Oryctolagus cuniculus: one gene and its partner. The protein of the gene in region 1 interacts with the protein of each later gene in a pairwise test. Links are inferred from orthologs where the notes say so. Each region holds a gene or a part of one and is shown in the gene's direction. Other genes may lie near its edges. The genes, in order: MCMBP and PRTFDC1.

Region 1 (3,812 bases):
CGAATGCTCCTTTTGTCTTCGGAGATGCATTTCATTTTGGTGCCTCCACCGAGGCGGCCCCTGGGTACCGAGCCGAGTCATCTCTCCACAGGGATGCCTCTGCACAGCTGGACCCGATGGAGTGCACAGACGCGGCCGAAGAGCAGCGCGTGCACAGCCCGCCTGCCTCGCTGGTGCCCAGGATCCACGTGGTTTTAGCCCAGAAGTTGCAGCACATCAACCCTTTGCTGCCGACCTGCCTTAATAAAGAAGAGAGCAAAGCCTGTAAGTGCAGAAGCCTGGAGCCCCCAGGCGCCCCGGGTGCCCGAGCCCAGTGCTCCTGTGGAATTCGGAGCAGCTCCCCCTACCTTCATCAGGAAGTTTGCCCTACCAGGAATGGTTGCTGCTTTGCCCAGTTTTCCTCTTAGATTGATTCTCTTCTTTGTAATGGGACATGGGAAGCAAGAGCTTAAGTTGTTTTTATTTTTTTAAGATTTACTTACTTGAAAGTGTTACAGAGAGAGGAGAGGAGAGAGAGAAAGAAAAAGAGATCTTCCACTGCTGGTTCAATCCCCAAATGACTGCAGTGGCCGAGTCTGTGCCAGGCTGAAGCCAGAGGCCCTGAGCTTCTTCTGGGTCTCCCAATTGGGTCGCAGGGTCCCAAGGACCCAGGCCATCAGCAGGGAGCTGGATCGGAAGCAGAGCAGCCGGGACTTGGCTGGTGCCCATATAAGTTTCTGTCACTGCAGAAGGTAGCTTAACCCCTGCGCCACAGCTCCAGCCCTGAAAGAACCTAAGTTTGAAGACTGTCATTACTTCCCGAGCAGTAGTTAAGTCTACACTGGGAGTGTGTTTCATGCTGCTGCTTCCCTCCTCATTGCAAGGAACCGCAGCGGACTGGAGCATGTATTCTGAGTCTGATCTCTCTTCCTCCTCCAGTTGTCTCAAGTTTCATGTCTGAACTGTCTCCAGTCAGAGCAGAACTGCTTGGATTCCTCACTCACGCCCTCTTGGGAGATAGTCTGGCTGCGGAATACCTTATATTGCACCTCATCTCTACAGTGTAAGTGCCTGTTCCTGGGGTCCTTGGAGTTTGGTGGGGTGCAGAAAGTGGAAAAGAGCAGGACATTTCTGACTTTCGTGTCTTAGGCCTATTACCTTATAGTTTTTATTTGTTCATTGTGACGAGTGCCATACCAGGTAACAAACGCCTTTTCTCACAGTTCCATATTTTGATTATGTTCCCTTGAATTTTAGAGCCAGTAACAAATAAAGGACCTGTCTGAAGAGTAAAATAAGCTATTTTTTTATTGAAAAAAAAATTTAAGATTTATTTCTTTGAAAGGCAGAATTAGAGGGAAAGACAGAGAGAGAGATCTTCCATCCACTGGTTCACTGTCCAGATGGCTGCAAAGGCCAGGCCTGAACCATGCAGGTCTCCCATGTTGGTGGCATGGGCCCAAGTACTTGGGTCATCGTCCGCTCTTTCTCAGGCACCTTAGCAGGGAGCTGGCTTGGAAGTGGAGCAGCCAGGGCATGAACCGACGCCCATATGGGATGCTGGTGTTGCAGGCAGCTGTTTAACCCTGCTGTGACACAATGCTGGCCCCAAAATAAGCTGTCTTGTCTTTTTTACACTGGAAGTTCTGTTTATACATTTCAAGACTGTCTAAAAACAGTTGGTGGGGTACCTCATATGCCCATTTAACTTGGACAATGGCATTTGTGCATCTCACGTTTGCCTCCAGTATATTCCTTTGTTTTCTGATTTTGAAAGTAATATGCCCCTCCAGGAACATAAAGAAGAAAAAATGTGGGTCTTCAGAAGTCCATGGGAAAAAATGCATAAATGGGAAAACTGTCTCAATTTCTAAATACTTTTGCACTAGCTTGCCATTTTTCCGTGACCTTTCTGTAGCCCCCTTGCTGGAGTCACCTACCGATACAGTTCGTTCACTTGCAGGTGATCAGAGTTAGCGTGCTGGACCTGTGTTCATCTTGCTCTGTTTCCACCCGTGTACTGTGCGCCCCTCCGTAGACCTCAGTTACACGGGTGCACATCTTGCTTTCAGCATTTAACATACATTGAACGGTTTCCCATTGTAATTTTCTCTGAACTTCATGACAGCACAGGAGTTTAGTGTGCAGCTGTACCACAGTGTAACCCTTTCTCTAAATGGTGTCAGTGACACTGCTGTACCCTATGTGTGCTATAAATCTTACTTTTCCTGGAGGGCATCTGAGACCAGCTGTGGGTAGTGGGCGGGGTCACAGCCTCTGGTTCCAGACCGCCTGCCTGCAGTCCTCGCTGCTTCACTTCCCAGCAGATCGCGCATCCCTCATCTAAGAATCCTTACTGCTGAGCCCTCAGTGAGCCCGCACACGTGCTGCTCGCTGTTGGGTTTGGGCTGTCCAGGTGAGGGCTGTTCATCTGGCCATCTACGCAAGTATTCCAAAGTCTGAAAAAAATGGACAGGCACTGTTGGTTCCAAGTGTTTTGGATAAAGGGATATTCTGTACTTCAGAATCTCTGTGCCTCACACTTTCAATTGTAAAGCCAGGAGCACCCAACGCCAAATGTTGGGGTTAAATGAAAGCCCACTGACGCACTGGCCCAGCCCGGGTCCGGGCCCAGCACTTGTGTGAGTGCTGCCTGTTACCTTTATGGTTGTTATTCTGGTCTCTACAGTAGCTGGTCAGAGGAGTCTGCTTTGTTTTTATTCACAAGCTAATTTTTATCTGTTTTTTGAAGGAAACCGCTTCAGATTGGTCTATTTTTTATTTTTTCTAGATATACAAGAAGAGATGTTCTTCCTCTAGGAAAATTTACAGTTAACCTGAGTGGTTGCCCACGGAACAGCACCTTCACAGAACACTTATATCGAATTATTCAACATCTTGTTCCAGCGGTAAGACCAGTCAATATAAATATGTATTATAAACCTAAGCACACAGCAGGTCCATCTGACTATCTTTGATTCAACCCAAATATTTACCTTGCAAATTTTTTTTTTTTATTTACTGGGAGGCAGAGAAAGAAAGAGAGCTCCATCCTCTAATTCCCTCCCCAGAGTCCTGCAGCTGCTGGGACTGGGCCAGGCTGAAGGTGGGAAACAGGAACTCAGTCTGGGTTGTCTCCCACATCCGTGGCAGGGACCTGCCTGTCTGAGCAGTCACCACTGCTTCTCAGGGTCTGTTAGCAGGAAGCTGGACTCCAGCGCAGAGCCAGCACTTAAAGTCAGGTGCTCGGATTTGGGATACAGGCATCCCAATGGCATCTTAATTACTAGACCAAACACCAGCCCCTAACTTTTAGATTTTAACAAATTGATTTTGGAGCTGGTGCTGTGGTATAGTAGGTTAAGCCTCTGCCTGTGGCGCCGGCATCCCATATGGACACTTGTTCGAGTCCTGACTGCCCACTTCCAATCAGGCTCCCTGCTGATGGCCTGGGAAAGCAGTAGAAGATGGCCCAAATGTGTGGGCCCCTGCACCCACGTGGGAGACCTGGAAAAAACTGCTGCCTCCTGACTTTCAATTGGCCCAGCTCTGGCTGTTGCAGCCATTTGGGGAGTGAACCAGTAGATGGAAGACCTCTCTCTCTGTCTCTCCTCTCTCTATAACTCTGCCTGCCTCTCAAATAAATAAATAAATCTTTTTTAAAAAAATCTGATTAAATGGAAAGCAAACCTTTGTAGGTCATGTAATTTAAAATGTACTCTCAGGGCTAGGCATTTAACCTAGTGTTAATATACCTGTGTCCCATTTTGGGGTGCCTGGGTTTGATACCCAGCTCCAGCCCCAGACTCCAGCTTCCTGCTCATGCAGCCCTT
Region 2 (3,812 bases), on another chromosome or scaffold:
GGTGTGGGGAGTTGTGCTGGAAGGAGCGTGGTCTGCATTAGGAAAGGCCTGGACAACTCAGGGCTGGACAGTCGGGCGCAGGTGTGCAGAGACCTTGAAGAAAGCCAGTTGAGAATATAGCTGGGGTGTGGCTTGCCCTGAGCGTGTGGCCCTTCCGTTGCTCTCTGTGTTCCGTGACCACCCGGCTTCCTTTTCTGCCCTCCTGCTGCCTGTTCTAAGCCTAACCTCACGCCTGGAGTGCCGGGGCAGCGGCTGCCCCCGGTCCGTGCTACAAACAGGTCCGTTTTCTAGGCTAGGCCAGCGCTTCCCCAGTAGCCCTGGCTCAAGTGCCCACATGAACACGCCTTTCAATACCTTCGCTTTAATTACTGGGCCATTCCAGTCTCATTAAGTTATTTTTTTTAAATCAAGTTATTTATTTGAATGGCAGAGAGACAGAGCTCCCATGTGCTGGTTCACTCCCCAGTGCCTACTACAGCTGGGCCTGGGCCAGGCTGAAGCCGGCATCTAGGCGCTCAATCCAGGTCTCCCACAAGCATGGCCGGGGCCCAGCTACTCGAGTCCTCGGCTGCAGCCTCCAAGTGTGCGTTAGCAGAAAGCTGGAATGGAATGCTGGCATCGCAGGTGGCTGCTTAACCCACTGCCACAGTGCTGGCCCTGATAATGCACTTTTGTTTAAAAAAATATTTATTTAATTGAAAGGCAGAGAGAGAGAAAAAAGTCTTCATCCACTGGTTCACTCCCCAGATGGCCGCAACAGCCAGACCTGCGCCGATCCTAAGCCAGGAACCAAGAGCTTCTTCTGGGTCTTCCCACACTGATGCAGGGGCCCAAGGACTTGGGCCATCGTCTACTGCTTTCCCAGGCCACAGCAGAGAGCTGGATCAGAAGTGGAGCATCTGGGACTCGAACCGGTGCCCATATAGGGTGCTGGCACTGCAGATAGGAGCTCTACCCACTATACCACAGCGCTGCCCCAATGATGCACTTTTAATTGATAATCTTTTTCAGGCAGATGAGTTACTTAGAGCCAGCAGAAATGTAATAGCCTATATAAAAATGCATATATTAATGTAACATGATGATCTGCTACATAGTATATAGTTACTCTTTATGGTGGTATATTTGTGACAATTTTATATATAAATCCCATGTTTACTTATATAAATAGTCCTGGCAGGTTTGCCATGAGACTCTGAGTTTATATTCTTAACTACACTGTCAAGACTCAGGAGTGAAGTGCTGTCTTTCCTTCAATGCCAAGTCCTGTATTAGGTCATTGTAAGTATCTGTTGTCATAAACAAATATCAGGCTGTAGCAGACAAGCAGCCTGGCCCCAGGGAGCCCTTCCTTGGGGGAGAGAGAGGGTCTAATTCCCTGTGTTCAGTTGTCTGTGTTCCAAATGATATCCTTTCCGTTGTTTGATTCGAGATGAATTCCCAGTGCAGAACACCCTCACTGAAATGATTCGCTTCTTGCAGATTAAGGACGATTGGCCTGGCTACGACTTGAACTTGTTCACGTACCCGCAGCACTATTCCGGCGACCTGGAGTATGTGCTCATACCGCATGGCATCATCGTGGACAGGTGAGTGAGTGAGCTGGGCTGGCCCGCCCACGTGCGTGAATCGTGTGAGACGCCCGAGTCCCTTTTCACGGTGGCAGAGAGAAGTGGTGTCGGACAGCAAATTGGGGACGGACTGAGTCTGGGCGTGTGCCGAGTGGTTTACCTGCGTGTGTGTTCAGGCGGGATGTTCAAAGGCTATGTGTGTGTGTGTGTCGCTGTTCTGTCACAGTCTGGAGACTACAGGGTCCCCTACAGATGATCATGCCAGGAAAGCGTGGGTTTGTGTCCCAGTTAACCAGGGAGGAACAGGAGGAAATCTTCACTTCCTAGGGTACCCCCTGAACCCCTGGATTTTTCTGCAATGCTGATCTCTCTTGCGCCAAACCATGCATCCCAGGTGGGCTGGTGTGCGGAGAGCGGCGTTTTCTAACCACTGGTGGGAATAGTAGTATTTGCAGCTTAAAATATATACTGAGAACGAGTTCTAGAACAGAATCTTTTTTTTTTCCTGATGTGTCTACATCCCTACCCTCTGGCTTCTTCCTTGCTGATGGCCTGTCCTGAAACCAACATTTTCTCTCCTGTGCTGTGTCACCCCCACTTAGCTCCTCCTGTTCAGTCCTACCACACCAATGATTAATAGGTCAGATCCTTAACAAGCCTGCATCAGCACCAAGAACTTGAGTTGCTTTCTGTGGGCCTCAGATTTCTGGTGCGAAGGTCAAGTACAGAGTCCTGCAGGTTTCTTTATTTCTGAAAGATTTATATAGAGAGGGAGAGATGGAGAAAGAGGTGTTCTGTCCACTGGTTCACTCACCAAATGGCCATAAGAGCCTGAGCTGAGCCAGGCCAAAGCCAGGAGCCCAGAGCTTCATCTGGGTCTCCCACATGGGTGCAGGGGCCCAAGCACTTGGGCCATCTTCTACTGCTTTCCCAGGAGCATTAGCAGGGAGCTGAATTGAAAGTGGAGCAGACGGGACTCGAACCAGCGCCTGTGCTAGCACTGCAGGTGGCAGCTTAACCTGGGAGGCCACGTGCTGGCCGTGACCTGCACATGTCAGTGGTGAACAAGCATCCTGCTTTTCAGGGGAAACTCTCTGGAACCCTGCGGATTCTTCGGGGGACCAGAATTTGGGGTGAAGTCAGCAATAGGGAGAAGTTTGACTTCTCACTGCAACCCTTTGCTTACACCATAGTATCTCTGCTTTTATATATTTTTGATCTGTTAAAAAAATAAAAAAGCTTTCTGAATTCAGCTCTAACTTTAATAAATAGCTCCTCAAAGCCAAAGAAAAGTTAAAAAGCATTCAACGGTCATGGTTCCTAGGATAGGAGGGAGCTTCAGAAAGTTCATGGAAGAGTGGAAGTTGAAAGATTAAATTTATTTTGGTGCAAAAGAATTTTGAATTTCTTGCATAGTTTTTTGTTTACTTGTTGTACTCGAGAGGCAGAAAGACAAAAGGAGAGACAGAGAGGTCTTCCATTCACTGGTTCACTCCCCAAATGGCTGCAGCAGCCAGGGCTGGGCCAGACCGAAGCCAGAGGCCTGGGACTCCATCTGTGTGTGGCAGGGGCCCAAGTGCTTGAGCTCCAGCTGTGCTTCCCGGGGTGCACTTGGCAGGAAGCTGGAATCGGGAGTAGAGCCTGGACTTGAACTCGGGCACTGTGATACATGGGATATGGACATCACGAGTGGGGTCCTAACCACTACACCCAGCGGCCGCCCTGCATAGTTTGTCCGTGTACTTGTGTGTGTGTGTGTGTGTGTGTGTGTGTTTGACAGGCAGAGTGGACAGTGAGAGAGACAGAGAGAAAGGTCTTCCTTCGTCGTTGGTTCACCCTCCAATGGCCGCCGCGCTGATCTGATGGCAGGAGCCAGGTACTTCTCCTGGTCTCCCATGGGGTGCAGGGCCCAAGCACTTGGGCCATCCTCCACTGCACTCCCTGGCCACAGCAGAGAGCTGGCCTGGAAGAGGGGCAACCGGGACAGAATCCGGCACCCCGACCGGGACTAGAACCTGGTGTGCCGGTGCCGCAAGGCGGAGGATTAGCCTAGTGAGCCGCGGCGCTGGCCCGTGTACTTGTGTTAATACCATCCTATCAGTCTGTCGGGAAGCCAAGAGGAATTTCATTCCCCCAAATTCTGAGATTTGCCATTGGATGGAACTTCCACAGGCGTGATGTTTCCTCTCCTGACTTACAGTATAATACACGATAAGCTGTGGTTTGGGGTTTTTCTTGGCC

What was found.
Region 2: the proteins of MCMBP (region 1) and PRTFDC1 interact in binary tests that used the Homo sapiens proteins (3 or more experiments, as listed by UniProt). The two-hybrid records come from large-scale screens. The link is inferred for Oryctolagus cuniculus from reciprocal best matches to the Homo sapiens genes MCMBP and PRTFDC1.

Annotation. Positions count from the first base shown.
Region 1 is NC_091446.1:10,866,886-10,870,697, forward strand, and holds part of MCMBP (mini-chromosome maintenance complex-binding protein), read left to right. Parts: intron 1-91; coding exon 92-264; intron 265-918; coding exon 919-1,042; intron 1,043-2,770; coding exon 2,771-2,888; intron 2,889-3,812. UniProt on the Homo sapiens protein: Associated component of the MCM complex that acts as a regulator of DNA replication.
Region 2 is NC_091444.1:104,725,650-104,729,461, forward strand, and holds part of PRTFDC1 (phosphoribosyltransferase domain-containing protein 1), read left to right. Parts: intron 1-1,482; coding exon 1,483-1,589; intron 1,590-3,812. UniProt on the Homo sapiens protein: Has low, barely detectable phosphoribosyltransferase activity (in vitro). Binds GMP, IMP and alpha-D-5-phosphoribosyl 1-pyrophosphate (PRPP). Is not expected to contribute to purine metabolism or GMP salvage.